Kluyveromyces lactis: one gene and its partners. The protein of the gene in region 1 interacts with the protein of each later gene in a pairwise test. Links are inferred from orthologs where the notes say so. Each region holds a gene or a part of one and is shown on either strand. Other genes may lie near its edges. The genes, in order: URB1, URB2, MAK16 and RSA3.

Region 1 (5,238 bases):
CGCAAATTCCAGGTCTGTTAACTGATGAACCAGCTACCCAACCATTTGTTCCACCTAAGTCGCAATCACCTTACAATCCTTCATCGAGTTACAACCCACCGAATCCACCATCTAACCAGCACTCTCATCCACAGCAGCAGCAGCAGCAACAGCCAGGGCCTTCTCAACAGCCATTTTTCAACTCACAAAGTCCATATTTCGGCTCACCTCATGCGAGCTTTGACAATTTAAACAATTCCGCTTTCAAGCAATTGAAAAATCTACCTCCAGAAATTTTGCAAGGCTTAACCAGTTTACAGGCAAACATGCCTGGCATTCCTTCTGCTTCATTTACTGAGTTGAATGAATTACTTGAGGCACATTCGAAAACGCCAAAGACTCAAAGTACAAATATATCAAGCCACTCTTCAGAACCTCCTTCCCAGGAGAAATCTCCTCAGAGATCTATCCCTTTGGTTATCAATGATAAGATGAAGGGAAACAAGAATCCCATTACACCATCTAGTGCTACTGGAACAACTCACTCCCATGAAAGTCCTCGTAAGGATTTGAAAAAGAGTCCACCAAGAAGTGAAGTGAGACCCAAAATTAATACTCCTTCTAATGGCAGTGCTCCCCTCGAAGAAAAGGATGTGGTCCATGATGATACAAAGGTCACAAATGAAGTTAAGTTCTGATATATTTCGTTTCATTCGTTGTAACCATATATATATACATATATATTCATTTAGAAGTCATGTAAATGAAGTGAACAATTTTCACCAATTACAAAGATATTAGTTGGCACACCCTACAAAAATCTCTTGACTTTAGTTTCTTCTGCTGCGATGTTGTATTCACCAGGGTTCTCTACGATAACATGCTTCTCAGTAGAAGGTTTGAATGCTAATCTTTTCTGTTCTCTTTGTCTCTCATAATCTAGCCATTCCTTATCTACAATAATATCGTCAGAACCCTTCTTCATAGAATCACTATCTAATTTTTTCGTCGGAGCTGCGATGCTGCTATTTGGTTGATCGATATCTTTCATGATATCCTGAAAGATATCTTCCAGTGATTCTTCTTCAATTTGTGAATTCATGCCTTTTATTACCCTTTCACGATCAATAATCTCTTTGGCCGCACGTTCACGTATCATCTTAGCTTCTCTTTCCAAATCAACAGAATTACCCAGCTCATGACGAGCGAATAGCTTGTTAACTAATTCTAGTTCCTTCTCCGCATTGTAATTGAAATCGCCTTGCTTCGTACGGTCGATCAAATCCTGTAGAATCTTAATCTTCATCTCATATCTTCTAACCATATCAGCATGTCTCTGCTGTTGGGCTGAAACACTTGTTAACACAGATCCGAATATCAATAGTGAAATTAATGGTTTAATAGCTGACTTATCAAATCTGGACTTCTTTGCGCCGTTGGTTGCATTGGTTGCAACTTCTGAATACGCTCTTCTTGAGACTTTCAAAAACCTATGTGCGAACATCTCTCTTCGTGGATCCAATTAAACGATGTACTTCGAAGAAAAGTTAAAGATTTGACGAAGCTGTTCTGGAACTCTGGAAGTAACTCATCGATGTTAATCAATTCCAAGCTTTTCATTCTGTCAACCGATATTGTTTATATCTTTTGTAAAAATAGTACATAATTTGCATAATAAGCAACAATAAACGCTAATATCTATCCTTGAGTGACCTTATTGTTACATGTATCATATCCCAGCTATCTAAAGCAGCATATATAAGACTATGGATTGTCTTACAAGCAGGTGAGGGAATATGCAAGGTGATAAGTTACTATTAATTAATTATGTCACGTGAAAATCGCATGACGCCCCGTCATATTTGGAAAATTTGTTTCTTTTAGCGTAGAATGGAAGAAAAAAATGTTGATCAAGCTCATCGCATCGATTGGGCATATACAATCATCACTTTGTTTTACTAAAATCTATGTAAGACAGTAGCATTGGTTCATTTTAAAACTTCAAGAAAGTGTGCTGGTTTATTGTAATATATATAAGCCGTTAATATCTAGCGTTTTTTGAACAGAAACTACATTGTGTTTGCGCTATGAATAACGACGACGGCTCCATGTTAGGGACCAGAAAAAGGAAATGGAAACAGAACCTTCCAAGTGTTAGTAATGTGAGCAGTGGTTTATTTGATGACCTGCAGATTCTTATCAACGGTATTGATTTACTCAATGTTGATGTTTCCAATAATTACCGCCCTGTAGCTGAGTTTTTCCAAAAGGGACTTGCTGTGCAATGCACACAAGGTTGGTCATATTATGCACAGGTGAATGAACATGCTAAGTTTGCTGAAACTACTATAAAGCTCAAAAAACTAATTGCCATTTTGAATTCGAATACCAGTGTTGTGCAATACGGATCCGTTATTATCCGTGATATACTTAATAATTACTGTAAAGTTCTTTACAGAGGTATCAATAATCTGCGTCCTTCGATAACGAATTCAGTATTTGGGTTAATGACAGAGATTGTACAGTTTAATAAAGGCCAGTTCGTTGATGAATTTTTGTCATATTTCGATTTGACGTTGGTAGCATTGTTGAAGGTTTTGAATCCAAGAAAGCTTGATAACCCAGATATTGAAGCTACTAGGAAATCAACTCACATCTCTATGAGGTCCAACTTCGTTAAATTTTGGATAACACTAGTTAAGAACGCACCGGCGGTACTAAGGAAGGATATTCTCAGTGACAATCAGAAAATTATGACCGCGTGGGTTAAGAATATGGTTAAAATGGACTCTGTTGAACTTATCGAGGAATCTCTACATCTATTTATTGATTGCATTCTAAAAGAAACGAGTTTTAGGAAGATGACCAAGAGTAAGATTTTAAATGAGTTCGTTGTGAATAGGTTGCATGAGTTTTACTATTCTCCAAATAAAGCCATTGTTTCCTTGATAGATGAATTCTTTCAAATCTATGGTGGCGATACGGACTTTGGTGTCGTATTTACCGACAAAACTTCTTGGTTTGAGGATAGTTCAAACTTGAAGTCAGGCGTTCCTGTGGTAATTAACCAGAAGGTATTCAAGTTACACAACAAGTTATTATACACCACATTAACATTTTTTAAGCCATGGGAAGATGATACACAATGTAATACAGTCATAAAAATTTTAGGTAACGTCCCAGAGTTGGTGGCTCCTTACTCAACGTACGTGTCATCTATGGGATCACATGACCCAAAGATGACAGCTTATTGGTTTGGTATGACATTGTTTTTGGGTAGAATGATCAATCTTCCCATTCCAGAATACGTCGAAACAGTAGATTCTGATAGTCTTCCATCCACAACAATTGTCGTGGAGTCGATTATTCCTTCTACTTTAACGAAAACAGCTCTTACGAAATGTCTGCAAAACAAAGTAAATCTAATCAGACAGATGGGAAGTCAATTGTTGGTATTTTCATTGAAGAAATTGGATAAAGTGCTGGACTTGTACAACGAAAAGGGATGGGATAATTCAAAGGCAATGCTCTTAAATGCTTATTTTTCGTACTTGCCAGATTTACCCGTTTTGACGACAGTTTTGAATATCTTATACACGGAATCCCCAACTAACAAAATTTTACCTTTGTCCTTAACCGTTATCCTCAATTACTATAGTAAAATATTCCCAAACTTCTTCAACGTCAATTTACCAGCTAGCAACATATATGTTGATATTATGAAAAGTGATCAATTTTCAGGAATGGATTTGGTTATCCTTGATAATTTCATGAAGTTCCAGGAACTAAATAACTCCCAAATCAAGTGGTGGAATGCCTCAAATAACGAAAACTCTCTATTCACATCGCTTTTAAGGCTCGCATCTTCGAAAAACGCTTCATCAATCGTCACTTCTAGAATATCGAATTTACTATTCAATTTGGTACAGTTCAGTAATATTTTCAAGATGAAAGAGCTAATAAGTTCTCCAATTTCAGCTTTAATTAATAGTTTATCGCTTTTGTCAAGTACTGGTTCCTCTTTTTCCACCTCGGAGCACATGAAGATTTTGAAACTATTGGATGAAGCCATTTCTAGATGTCATAAGACTCCGTATAAGTATGTTGATATGGCAAGGCAATATGAGAATCTATCACCTTTCCTTTTGACACTTGTTGAACAATGGAAATTTGTCCAAATTGATAACCCAAAAGAGTCAGTTATCGTCAAGTGGTTACTTATATTTTTCAGAAATATGCTGGTGCTAGGAGAGTCTGAAGTAGGTATTAGAAATCTACTTTCTAACGTTGAAAGTATACCTCATAATCTTGTCGAATTGTACTTATCCTTTACTGACGAGATCATTAAGAAAGTATCATCTCCGGAATACCTTTTGTTTTCAAATGATTCAACTTCTAGCTATGATCACATTTTGTTGCAATATTCCCCGAAGTTAAGCAAAATGAGCAGATTCCCTGTGAATTCTTTTGATGTAGCTGCTATTATTTTCCGTCTAAAGAAAACGATGTCAGGCAGTTTACTTTCTACGCAGGTACAGGAAACTATTGATAACCTATTGTCCAAGGTGGGTAATTATGCATTAGGTGATATGAAGTTTAAGAAACGTGTCGTTAAGAAAAGTTATTTTTCTCATTTGTTTGATGGTGAGTTGCCTAATATAGACAGCGATTCATTTGACTTATTCTTATACGTTGTTAATGGCCTTCAACAAATTTATAGTCAGCTCGATATTGAGTATGATGAATTCAGCAAATATGCCTTTGATTTATTCAAGACAATTGCTGCTTCTGAAAAATCACAGCGCAGAACCATTGCGCTGGGAGTTTTAAGCGAAATAGTTTCAGCCGAAGATGTTATCAAGTGTTTGCATATGATAGATAATTATTCTGAAACGGTTTGTAGGCAGTTGCTTCAAAGATGTCTAGTAGAAAATGTCATTGTTGATGTTGAGATCTTTACGAAAATCCTCGAAGTGGCGACTTCAGATATTCAGAAATTACTTCAACAAATTCTGGATTTCAAGCTTGTTAAGATTGAGATTGTCGACGTGACTAAATTAGCTTCATCTATTATCGGAAAAGAAGCATTTTTTATAGAGTCTTGTATGAGAATTAAAGGGTTGACAAACTCTCTATCCAACCAGTACTCAGAGATTCCGGATCCAACTACCAAGATTATAATTGCGACGCATTTGCAGAAGGAAACAGATAGAGAAGCTATTATGGAAGCAATAAACATAGCTATGGAAAACTTGAACA
Region 2 (5,304 bases), about 380 kb from region 1:
TGAAGATAAAGAAATTAATCCCACTGAAACTGGCCACAGCGTTTTATCATCATACGAGCATAAAGAAAGAGCAACTTGGCGAATTAAAAATTCTCCAATGGTTGGTTCATTTTCAAATGCAAGTTCTGAGTTCAATCCACTTTTATGAGCAAAAATTTCGTAGAAGTCAGTTTTTATAATTCCTTTAGCTTCGCACAATACCGCTACAAAAGCAGCAGTTGCAAGGTCTAAGGATTCAAGAATCGGTAACACATCAGCAACTTTGTCATTGATAATGTGATAACACGGCGTTTCCCAGTTATTGCAAACATCGATGGCATTATGTTTAGTAGCTAATTGTCCATATTCTTGACTCAATTCCAAAGTTGGTATATAGTACAACATCAATCCACAGTACGATTCGTACCAATACTGTGAGAATTCACAGATTTTATTTTTAGAACCACTTAAAATCATGAAGATGTTCATCAAATTCTTCTTGATTTCAGGTTCAACCTCTTGTTCATCCCAATTTGTCATTAATTGGAGTACGCTATTCTTCCATTCACGGAATAAATTTTCAGAATGAAGTGGGTAACTCTCAATGATTGTAATCAAATCAGTGACAAATACTCCCACTGTTTCATTTCCATGTTCCAGCAGTTGAGAATTTTGAATGCATTGGATACTCTGAGACCATAAGCCTCTCAAAAGAAGCTGTGCCGTTAGGTCCCAAAAATCAGATTGTTCATAGACTTTTCTTCGCGTCAGAAGGGTTTCATCAAAGATCTTTTGAATAACCAGCTCACTTGGTTCACCATCTGATCTGTTCACCCAATTGATCAAAGACTCTAGAAGGTCCTCTTGTTTGTATTCCGGAGAGTCAGTTAAAAAGTAAATTGTCTTCAAGCAATTTAGTATGCTCAAACATTCCTCAAGATCTCCAATTCGTTGCAGCTTATTCGTGTATTTGATGGATTCAATGTAGAACTCTAGTTCTGTAACCAAGGCATGAAATGCTAAATTAACTATCGAGAAGTGTTCGAGTCTTGAAGTTTGTTTTATTAGCCCTATGGTCGGTACATCGTTCTTGCGATGTTCTCCTAATCCCTGATACAACTCAAAAAGTTTTGATACATATTGGGCAAATTCTTTAGATTCATCTAAATGTAGAAATCTTACAGGATATAGTTTATTATCTTTCGTAGAGTTATCAAAAGCAAGGCTTCGGGACGAAACGTTGTTGTATTTGAAGCGTAATTCTTTGGCCGAGGGTTGCTCAATAGGGAAGTTCACCATTGGTGCATTGCTGACAGGGTCAACATTGATTGTTAGATTAATATCATCATCACTTTCATTGCTGATACCTTCTTCGTCCAAAAAGTCTAGGTTATCGACATCCATTAATAGGTCCTGTGTGTCGGCGAATTCATCGTTAGCCATTGTTACTGCTATGATTCTTTGGTGAAAACACGCGATTAAACCGCAAATTTCAGTTTAACTCAAGGTTTCAAAAAAGAAAATTATATTAACAGTCAGTACAAATCCCAATCCAGCGATTGAACGTAACTCCTTTAATGATTTGGAGCGTAATTGGTCTCTATATTCTCATTTTCTCTCAATGTTTACTGATTGCAATATTCAAAATATATCCTAAAAGTGATATATACGAATCTCTTAGAAAAATTTGATGCTTGTTACACCCGTACACCACATATGAAATTCCATCTATCCTTCTTGAACTTCCAACATTTATCTACTGAACCAGCGAGTATAGCTATGGGTTGCCCCTCTAAATGATAAATTTATATGCCGGTAGATCAGCATGTGCCAAAAAGCGCATCAGAGATCTCCAAGTGCTCCTTAAATCATCTTTCTTTATACTTTTTCTTCCGTAATGAACTGCGTATAATTTCTTATTGTCAAATTTTACTGAACATCAATTTTCAAACATTAAAAGTAGCGATGAGATGAGATGAGATGAGATGAGGTAAAACGAGATCACCTAGCAGATTACATATCGATATAGCAGCTCTGAACGACGTTCGTAAGGGTGAGAAAATCAAAATGTCCTTTCCCAATACTGCAGAAGGTATCACTCGGTATCTCAGATCGAAGAACGTCACTACACAAGAGATTTATGACATTTCGGTTTCCGTACTAGATGGGAAATACGATATATACTTTCCAAATGGCCATATCTTTATATTAGAATTGATCATTGACAGATGGAATGATGCTAAACAGGCACAGTTCAGAAAGGACACCAACATTTGGAAGTTATGGAAACAGCTATGGGTTATGGTTTCGTCTGAGAATCATAAGAAAAAATTATTGAGGAATCTAAGATCAGTAAATTTAATTCAACTAACATTTGAAGAGATGCAGGACGGTGACCATGAGCTTTGTGAGCATGTATATGAGGTACTGAAATCTGTTAATTCTTGTATGATTACCGCAGTCTCTCCGGAAGCAGGTCTTAAGCTTTTAGGTAGAGTCATAGATATCGTACTTTCCTGTGACTTTGGTCGTGAGAACTTCCTGAAGCAAGCAATAATTTCAGAAATTTTGACATTTACTGATTTGAACAACTTTACGGAAGTATCTAATAAAGTTTCTGGTGTGTACTGCTCTGAACTGTTGCTACCGAGTTTGAAATACTTCAAGCAGGCTGACGAAGAGGTGTTTGACAACATCTTTGACGTATTATCTGAGTTTACAAAAAGGTATTTATTTGAATTCACAAGGGATTTGCCTGCAGCGTTGAAAACTTTTGTAGGTTTGCATAAAAGTTCCCTCTCCCCAGATTTATTGGTTTTGCTTTTCACAAAGTGCATTACAACAGGTAAATGCGATGCCGCTACTCTGGAAACCATTTTAAAAATGTTGTTAGATATTGATGTCACAATATGCGCAGATTTGTTGGCTACACTCAATGCCTACAGAAAGATTATTTCACAGACGTTTTTAGAGTCATTATTCACTTCCGTATTTGAGTCCAGAGATTGGAAAATAATTAAGAGCATTATCGAAATGGACATTGAAATTGGTATCTTGAAGACGGAAGAATTAATGAATGCTATGGACGCTTCGACCACTAATTTTGAGCTAGAAATTTGGACTTCAATTATCAATTGTCATGTCAATGCCAGAGAATTTACAAATCTTTTGACTATCTGGAGAGAATATTGTAGGAAAAACACCACTTCATTATTCTTGACTGATTCGAAAATGACTAAGGTCCTTTCCGATAATGTTCCTGCATTATCTGTAACACAGACTCGTGCAATCATTACAGATTTAGTAGATGTTATTGCTTCTGAGAATGATATTTTTTCAGTGAATATTTTACAAGTTATAGTTTCTGGATTGAAAATGCTCTCTTATGCGCAGTGCTTGGAATTTCGGATTTATCTTTCAAAACTTTTTGAAATAGAGGGTTTTAATGCTCCAGTATTTTGGCAACTCAAATATCACGTTCTTGAACTATATGATGATCTTCCTATCGCTGTGAAGTTCAATCCTGACGACGCATCAGGTCTCATCAATCTTGGAAAAAAATACCATAGTAGTGAACTATTTTTCGCCTTATTCAAGTTCTACGAGCTCCAGCCATTTGAAAATTTACCTGTTATTGAAGCTTTTATGAATTTTATTGGTAATCTGGACTCAGCAGAGTTATCAAATATTCTACAGACCCTTTTAACGCGTTGGTCAACTCTCGTCGATTCATCATTCGGAAATAAGAACATATCACACCTGATCGAAAAACTACTTCAAAATCACATCGATATTTTGCCTGTGCTATTCGCTGAAGAGGATTTTTTTGAAGAGTCTAACATTGTTCGTTCGATAGTGGTTCACTTGACAGCCGATGTTAATTCTAACCTTCATCTGAAGTATTTATTGGAAATTCCAATTCAATGTTTGAATAAGGCTGTAAGATTGGCAATCCTAGACCAAATAATAGAGAAGGATGTTTTGAAAGAGGATGACATAAATGTTCTTTGTCATGTTTTGAAAAACCCTACCTCGAGGAGCAAAATAGAAACCGATTATAAAACAATGCTCACGTTTGTCGGCAATTCATTCTTCAAATATAGCTTGGAAAATCCGGTTATTGCAGCCGTTTGGCAGAGTGCACTGCTTCAAAGAAACGACAACAAAGCATCTTCATCCATGGATTCTCTATTACAAAGCATTCAGGCAAATTTGAATCATACCTTTGATTATAACACTTATGCCTTGTTGCATCTGGTACTCAAAACATGCGATGAATCAGGGTTGCATTTAGATGCTCTTAAGGTTAAGTTCATCAATAGTTTGATTTACAATATTCAGCATTTCAACGGAGATTTCAAATTACTTGCATGGCTGCTCAAGGTTTTGTTCATTCAAGCAAGTAACTCTAAAACAACAATTCCTGTTCCACCGTTATTTTCGAAGGCATCCGCCATTCCTTCTGACATTGAAGTTCAATCGGCATATTTTATGGTATCAACACTAAATTACAATGATAATATTGAATATCTTCTAGCGCAGTATCTTATCTTAAGAGAAAATGGAGTGTCTAAAGAGATGTTATTACAGGCAATAAAATTGAACATATCCAAGAGAATTATTAATAACGATGAAGACTTCAATACAGCATTCGAAACGATCTGCAATACTATGCCTGTACTATCAACAAGCAACTCCGGAGCAGTATTGGAGCTGCTACAGTTATTCATCCACTTTGTTTCAAAACAGAATAGTAGTGGAAGGCATATTTTTGTCAAATCAATTTCACACCTTTTAACAAACTACTCTACTAGCATTATAGACAGAAAAGATATTATATCTTTCATTACCTTTCTGAATGATCTGCTGGTGGCCAAACCGTTTTTATTCACACAGTACTGTTCAGAAATGCTTTTCCCACTAACATCCAAGATTCTTTTGGATAACATAATCAAAGCAGCTGATACACCCGATCAGAGAGAGATCAAAAATAAGATTCCATACTCTAAAAATGACCTGATTTTTTCCTGCACACATATGCTCTCTTCATTGCTATTATTTCATCGTTATAAGTTATCCAATCGTACTCATTTGATCAACATTGTTATCTGCCAATTACTGGAGTTACTATCAGATGCTAAGCAATACGCTCTATCGGTTGAATCAGCGAAAGCAGTATCAAGATTCATATGTAACTATTGTGAGCCTGCAAATGTGAGAAGCAGTAAGCAGACGACATTGTCCTCGGCTGTTTCTAATGTTAAAAGATCGCTAAGAAAGAATCTGCCAGTTGTTCTTCTACAATTCATCAAATTATCAGTTTCA
Region 3 (4,181 bases), on another chromosome or scaffold:
CTAAATGATAATGACAGAAAGTTTACAGTCAGCCGAGGTTCAGTATGTAACGACTCGGACTCTCAAAGCATCTCCACAAATTTGCTGTTTAGTTCTGCCCAAGCTTCACCCCAAAAATTGGTAATCAAAGAAGTTGATGTCATTCAAGAGAAATCGGAGCATCCCGATGTCCCTACGCCAGTATTATGCAAACAACCTATTTCAAAGCTTTCTGAGACTCCAAGTATAAAGTCAATAGGAAGTCGTGATTCAGAAGAATCCTTTGATCTCACGTCGATTGCTAGTAAACCAAATCGCGCACAATCCACAACTCTGAGAGAGAAATATCATCTAGAAAAACAGGCAACTAATGACATTTTCGAGGAAGACGTTGAAAACTTGAATCCAGAGAATAACAAATACCTGTTTTCCCCAGACACTGATAGCATAGATTTTGCATCCCCAGAAAAGAACCTCGACGATTTAAAACAACAGTTTATTGACCAGTCAACTGATGAGCAAACGTCGTTAGATGAAGAGGAGATTGCTACTCAGGATAATGAAAATAAAGATCATGGAATTGATAAAAAGAAACTAGAGGACATTATGAATGGTATTGACGACACAGCTGATACTTCTATGGATCCTGTTAATCTTGCTTTAATGAAATTAGAAGGGACGTATGATAAAGGGGAAAAGGAAATAGATGATAAAAGTCCATCAATTAACAGCGAATTAGCCCGGGAAGTTGAAAATTTCCAAATCGTACAAACTGCAGCTCTTCCTGAAAGCGCTCGCAAAAGGCAATCCATGTTCATACAGAGAAGACGCAACACAATGATCGATTTTAGCGTTCGTGATTCACTCATTGACAAAGACTCCTCCTGCACCAGATTGGAAAATACTGATGAACAAATTCGTAATTTGTTAAACCAGTACACATTAACTGATTCAAGGCTTAAAATAGACAATTTAGAGCAACATATCCCGTTCATTCTGATGTATGATTCTAAATCTGTGGCAAACCAATTGACCTTGATTGAAAAGGAAATTCTATCTGAAGTTGATTGGAAAGATCTATTGGATTTGACAATGAGTGAACAACTTCCACAATTTACCAGTTGGCTGCAATTATTGGTACAGAACGAAAACTTGTCGGGTATCGATTTAGCCATAGCAAGGTTCAACTTGACCGTGGATTGGATCATTTCTGAAATCGTAATGACTCAGGACATAAGGTTGAGAAGGAACACGATCCAAAGATTCATTCACATAGCCGAACACTGTAAAGAGTTACAAAATTACAATACTTTGATGGAAATCATCCTTGCATTAAACTCCATTGTCGTTCAGAAATTCACTGAAACATGGAGACTTGTCGAACCAGGCGATCTATTGACTTGGGAAACGTTGAAGGCCATACCATCCCTGGAAAAGAATTACAGTAACATTAGACAATTAATAGACGAAGTCGAACCACTTTCTGGATGCATTCCATTTATCGTGGTATACTTATCGGATCTATCTTTAAACATTGAGAAACGTACCTGGATTGTACATGACGAAGTGCTAAATTACAACAAATTCCAAACAAATGTTCAAATAGTGAAAAACTTCGTACAGAAGATGCAATGGTCCAAATTTTACAACATTGATATTGACCATGAGTTGTTAAGCAAGTGTGTTTACATCACATCATTGTCCCATGACGAAATCAATTCAATTTCACATAAATCCCCAATTTAATTCTTTAATGTCGAGTAAAGTATTTGACATAGAACTAGTTAGTCTCAGTTCATTTCACCTCATATAATATATATATCAACACACGATTTTATCAGTTTCAAATAGTTTCATCCACATTTTTTTCGAACATATTTGAATGAAGGTTAATCTCTTTAGATCTAATCATGCATATTCCGACTCTTGATTAAGTTTCCGATTATAACAATAAAATATCATTGGTCATGTGACTAAAAATTTAGTAATCCATTTCTTTTTTCTCTTTCTGCCTGAAAATTTTTGAGAACTGAAAAATATCGATGCGATGCGATGAGATGAGATGAAATGAAAGAAGCAGCGACTAGCGGAATAGCAAGTAAACTTAGCGATAGTCATAACCAATTTAAATAAACTCATACTAAGCATAAACCAGTATCTGTAGGATTGACTGAACATTAGCAGATGTCTGACGAGATCATTTGGCAGGTTATCAACCAGCACTTTTGTGCGTACAAAGTCAAAACTGATAAGGGACAGAACTTCTGTAGAAATGAATACAACGTAACAGGTTTATGTTCGAGACAAGCGTGTCCTTTGGCAAATAGTAAATATGCCACTGTAAAGAACGTGGACGGAACACTTTACTTGTACATGAAGACCGCGGAAAGAGCTCACACGCCTGCTAAATTGTGGGAAAGAGTGAAACTATCTAAGAATTACACAAAGGCATTAGCACAGATCGATGAACATTTACTGTATTGGAACAAGTTCTTAATTCATAAGTGTAAGCAAAGGATGACAAAGCTTACACAAGTGATGATTACAGAGAGACGTTTGGCATTGAGAGAGGAGGAGAGACATTATGTCGGTATTGCTCCTAAGGTGAAAAGAAGAGAAGAGAACCGAGAACGTAAGGCATTATCAGCCGCTAAGATTGAAAAGGCTATCGAAAAAGAATTGCTTGAGAGATTGAAGAGTGGTGTGTATGGTGATAAGCCTTTGAATGTGGATGAAAAGATCTGGAAGAAGGTCATGGGACGTGTAGAAGACGAGGACTTGGATGAAGAAGAAAACGATTGGGATGAGGAAGAAGAAAGCGATGAGGGAGAAGTCGAATTCGTAGAAGATGAAGACGCTGAGGATGAGATGGTAGATATGGAAGATTTAGAAAAATGGCTCGGTGGTTCTGATACATCTGATTACAGCAGTGATGAGGACAGTGACGAAGACAGTAGCGACGAAGATAGCGATGAAGAAGAAAACCCATCTAAGAGACAAAAGAAATCTACACAAACCAGAAAGAGACATCCTAAGGTTGAAATCGAATATGAACAGGAACTAAATTCCAACCAACAAGAACTTGCACAATGATGCGTTTCTGAAAAACAGAGCTCGTCATGACCACATTTGTATACTATTAAATTTGACATATTATTATATTTATTGAAGATAAATTTCCAACTACGATAAAGAAGCAAAGGCAATAGTTAATAATTATATACACTTACAATAGCATCTCACCATCAATAGTATGTCCCCTTTCCCTTCATTTTGTTATACTGTACCCAAATAATGCATTCGAAATAGCAGTCACGTGGAAATATTGTTTCCATGCTGACAGTTTTTTCTTTGTAAATTATACCGGAAAATCCCATTAGGACACATTAAACAGAAAGATTCGTAAACCATTTGCACCATGAAACCCAAGTACTTTGAAAGGGAGATACAGAGCCAGAGAGGAGCGACACACCGATCAACCTGCTTTCCAATGAGTGGCTCAACTAAGCATGGCGACAGCGATGCGTTGTTTGATGTTGACTTTCTTGATGATAGCTACACCCCGGATTTACGGGATAGTCCAAGAAGGAACAGCCCAAGTGCAGTAATAGATTCAGGAATGGATACCTCACAGAGAGGCTTACTCCCACAAGAGACCATTGACCTCAGTGACAACATAGAGAACGACATTGAAAATCCTTTCAATGACCGTTATTCAGCATCCTTTGCAGACACTAACCCTAGGAATAGTGTCTTACCTCAGCCAAGTGGGTTCAATAGATTTATGAGCAATGTGAAAAGTGCAGTCGGTATGAATGGTGGACATAAGGGTCAATTCCAAAGTTTCGAAATGAATGACTACGATCAGAGCAACACTAATAGGTATGAAAGCTCTACGAGGAAGTTTGACATCAAAGTTTTGTTCAACAGGTATATTCTCAGAAAAGGGAAAACCTCTTGTAAGTCTGACGAGCCAAGAACGATTTTACTCAACGATAGTTCAGCAAATAGCCGTTTCGGCTACAGAGATAATCACATCTCTACGACGAAATATAACGCTGCAACTTTCTTGCCAAAGTTTTTGTTTCAAGAATTCTCCAAATACGCGAATTTGTTCTTCTTATTCACCTCCATTATCCAGCAAGTACCTAATGTTACACCTACCAATAGATATACGACCATTGGTACACTATTAGTAGTGT
Region 4 (3,667 bases), on another chromosome or scaffold:
GGAATCTGAAGTAATTGAAGTGGAAAATAAGATTGCAGGTAATCATGGTACCATTGCAGATATAAGATTCGTTGGTCCAAAACGGGATAAATTAGCATTAGCTACTAACTCTCCTACTCTTAGAATAATTCCAACCCCAACTTCTTCGGAGGAAGAGTTCGAAAATGGGGAGAACAAAGAAACATTTCCTATTGAAGTAAAGATGTACGAGGGTCATACGGATCTACTCAACTCTTTGGATGCCACCGCTGATGGTCTCTGGGTTGCTACAGCATCCAAGGATCACAGCGTTATATTATGGAGATATCATGCAAAGTACGAAGACTTTTATCCATACACTAAATTTGTCGGTCATGTAGGTTCTGTGAATGCTGTTGGACTTCCTAATGTTATGCCACGTTCATGGCCTGAATTCATAATTACAGCTTCTAACGATTTGACCATAAAGAAATGGAAGGTTCCTAAGGTGACATCTGATGAACCCGAAGATCTAATACTTGTTAAGACCTCAGAATATACCAGAAGGGCGCATGAAAAGGATATCAATGCTATCTCCATTTCACCTAATGATTCTCTATTTGCCACGGCTTCATACGATAAGACATGTAAAATATGGAATTTGGATGATGGTGAATTCCAAGCCACATTAGCAAACCACAAACGTGGTCTATGGGACGTTGCATTCTGTCAATATGACAAGTTATTGGCCACATGTTCCGGTGACAAGACCATCAAAATTTGGTCCTTAGAATCATATGCCGTCGTAAAAACTTTGGAAGGACATACCAATGCAGTTCAAAGATGTTCCTTCATAAACAAGAACAAGCAACTGATAAGTACTGGTGCTGATGGTTTAGTTATTATTTGGGATCTATCAACTGGTGAATCGGTCAAGACACTAGATGCTCACAATAACCGTATCTGGGCTCTTGCTGTTATGAACGATGGTGAATCCTTCGTTACAGCAGATGCTGACGGCTTCTTTGAGTTCTGGAGGGATAACAGTGAAGAGGAACACGAACGTAACCTCGAGCAAGAGAAACTGAAGATTGAACAAGAACAATCATTACAAAATTATCTCTCAGAAGGTGACTGGACTAACGCATTTTTGCTTGCCATGACCTTGGATCACCCAATGAGATTGTACAACGTCTTAAGACAAAGTGTAGACAACTCAAATGAGGATCCAAATGTAGTTTTCAACAACGAAATTGACGAGGTTGTGTCGACTCTAGATAAAGATCAACTTCTTCTTTTAGTGAAAAGGTGCAGAGATTGGAATACAAATGCAAGAACACACACAGTAGCCCAAAAGATGATAAGGTGTATTCTTCTAAGACAAAATATTGAAGAGTTGAGCGAAATTCCTGGGCTTGTAAGGATCGTTGAATCAATAATCTCATACGCAGAGAGACATTACTCAAGAATGGATAACTTGGTTCAAGAAAGTTATATCTTAGATTACGCTTTAGTTCAAATGGACAAATTGCTATAAAGAATGTAAATATAGCACTAGTCGTCATGTAGATATATACATATAACAGTACAACACACCCACCGCATCAACTCTGAATAGATACCATATCCAGTCAAGGGCCATCCATCAGTAGAATAATAAGTTTGTTACCCGGCTTTGAGTTTTAGACAGAATTTGTTTCCCTGCAAAAGAAACTTCATCAAATAACTAGACGATGTGAAGCGATGAGATGAGATGAGATGAGATCGGCTCTCATCCTTCTTCTGTTAAAAGGTGACTTCAACTGTGAATTTTTGACAGTTATACTTTAAAGTTAACTCTCCTCCATATTAACGAGAAGCTCTATCGGAAACTATCATGTCAGAGGGACATATTGCAGCTATTAGCAAGACGAACAAGAGGAAGAACAGAAGAAAGAAGAGAAGAACGCAAGACGTGTCCGACTCAAGTTCTGATTCCAGCTCCGATTCTGAAAATTCATCGGTAGAAGATAATGATACTAAGCTCGAAACTGTGGAGAAAGCTGCATCTGATGTTGAAGATGTAACGCTTTCAGATATTGACATGGATAAAGAAGAAGATGAAGCTGCATTGGACGATAAAAAAGCCAGCCGAAAAGAGGGAAGCGTCTTGTCCTCGGAGACTGTGGACAAATTAAATAAAGTGGGACTAACAACAAGCGATTTAACTGGCAACAATGGCATTCATCTAGGGAATATCGATTTGAATAAGATGTCTGCTACGTTAGATGAAAGCAGCAATAAATTGCTAGAGAATAATAAGGACAAGAACGGATTAAAGAATCAATATTTGAGTATGCTATTTGAGAGTTATGGTGATGACATGAACGAATTGAGAAACGCACCAGATTTCACTTCGAAGACCCTTGTCATGCTAGCGAATGTTCTAAAAGACGGAGGAGATATGTTTGATTTGGAGACCTTGAAGACAATAGTAGAGGATAAATAGTGTTTGGATCTATCTAGCATTTTAAAAACACATGTATAATAAAATAAAAATACAAACCATCTATCACGATACAGCTAGAATGAATCAAATAAAGTCTGGACGGCAAATTGATGATTTGGAGTAAGATATGAATACGTATTGGAATGATAAAAAAAAAAGTACGTGATACTAGGGAACGCTTAAAAGAAGAAGTAAAATAAATAAGAGATGATGAGGATGATTATGATTAATTAATTTTGTTTTATTTGTGACTCTCATTCGATGACCTTAACGAAGAACCAAGCTGCACCTGCAGCAGTCCCACCGACTGCTATCATTTGTAAGCCTTCCAGTAACTTTTTCTGCAGGGTACAATCGTTCATTGAGACTTGGGATTTGAAATATCCGAACCAGAACAACGTGAAAGTCATTAATGCAATAGAGATCAGGAGACCGGTTCCCACCGTTTCAACAAAGAAATATGGTATTAACGGGACGAACCCACCGGCAAAGTATCCTCCTCCGATCGTTAGTGCACTAATCCATTGTCTATTATCATCGGGTTCATCTAAACCTCTTCCGTATTTGATAATGAAATCCACCATAAGTTCTGGGTCTCGTTGCATATCTTTCACAAACGATATCACTGTATTTTCCGAGAATTCTGGGTTCATTTCCATTAGTATATCTTCAATTTCATGGTTTATTAGCTGAGTATTGCTATAAAATTTCCTTTTTTCTTGCGACACCTCCGATTTATAGTAATCACTTTCAGATTTAGCACCCAAATAACCACCAAGACCCATAGATATAGCACCAGAGATCAATTCCGCGAACCCACCTGTAATCACCAACTTGGAATCTCCCAACGAGGAAAGACCTGCGGTCAACGCGAAAGGAACCGTCAAACCATCACTGAGTCCGATAATCATATCGGACATAACTCTTGGATCAATCTTACCGAACAATCCAGACGTACCATCATCCTCATTGTCATAATCGTCAAACCCACCTGTATGCTTTGAGGATTCTATATCGCCATCCTGTGGTGAAGCCGAGTATCGATGACTATTCAAATTAGTGGTAGAATTCGAATTGGAATTAGAACTATCGGATGATAGTAATGGAACTTCCTGATTTTTCGCTACGAGTTTTGACACAGCGTTTTTAATTGCAACCACGGACATGTAGTTCTAGTTTCTGAATATGTTATAATATATTGTTATTCTGGTCTTATTTTTA

Evidence for each region.
Region 2: the proteins of URB1 (region 1) and URB2 interact in binary tests that used the Saccharomyces cerevisiae proteins (3 or more experiments, as listed by UniProt). The link is inferred for Kluyveromyces lactis from reciprocal best matches to the Saccharomyces cerevisiae genes URB1 and URB2.
Region 3: the proteins of URB1 (region 1) and MAK16 interact in binary tests that used the Saccharomyces cerevisiae proteins (3 or more experiments, as listed by UniProt). The link is inferred for Kluyveromyces lactis from reciprocal best matches to the Saccharomyces cerevisiae genes URB1 and MAK16.
Region 4: the proteins of URB1 (region 1) and RSA3 interact in binary tests that used the Saccharomyces cerevisiae proteins (3 or more experiments, as listed by UniProt). The link is inferred for Kluyveromyces lactis from reciprocal best matches to the Saccharomyces cerevisiae genes URB1 and RSA3.

The regions. Positions count from the first base shown.
Region 1 is NC_006041.1:1,617,739-1,622,976, reverse strand, and holds the start of URB1 (Urb1p), read left to right. Parts: upstream 1-2,066; coding exon 2,067-5,238. Other genes in the region: DAL81 (Dal81p), read left to right, coding at 1-677; INA22 (Ina22p), read right to left, coding at 791-1,483. UniProt on the Saccharomyces cerevisiae protein: Required for 60S ribosomal subunit formation and pre-rRNA processing. Required for normal accumulation of 25S and 5.8S rRNAs.
Region 2 is NC_006041.1:2,001,757-2,007,060, forward strand, and holds the start of URB2 (ribosome biogenesis protein URB2), read left to right. Parts: upstream 1-2,046; coding exon 2,047-5,304. Other genes in the region: NUP85 (Nup85p), read right to left, coding at 1-1,422.
Region 3 is NC_006037.1:358,872-363,052, reverse strand, and holds MAK16 (ribosome biosynthesis protein MAK16), read left to right. Parts: upstream 1-2,163; coding exon 2,164-3,072; downstream 3,073-4,181. Other genes in the region: mitotic regulator LTE1, read left to right, coding at 1-1,725; aminophospholipid-translocating P4-type ATPase DRS2, read left to right, coding at 3,398-4,181.
Region 4 is NC_006042.1:1,225,128-1,228,794, forward strand, and holds RSA3 (Rsa3p), read left to right. Parts: upstream 1-1,834; coding exon 1,835-2,446; downstream 2,447-3,667. Other genes in the region: U3 snoRNA-associated protein UTP13, read left to right, coding at 1-1,495; CCC1 (Ccc1p), read right to left, coding at 2,701-3,612. UniProt on the Saccharomyces cerevisiae protein: Required for efficient biogenesis of the 60S ribosomal subunit.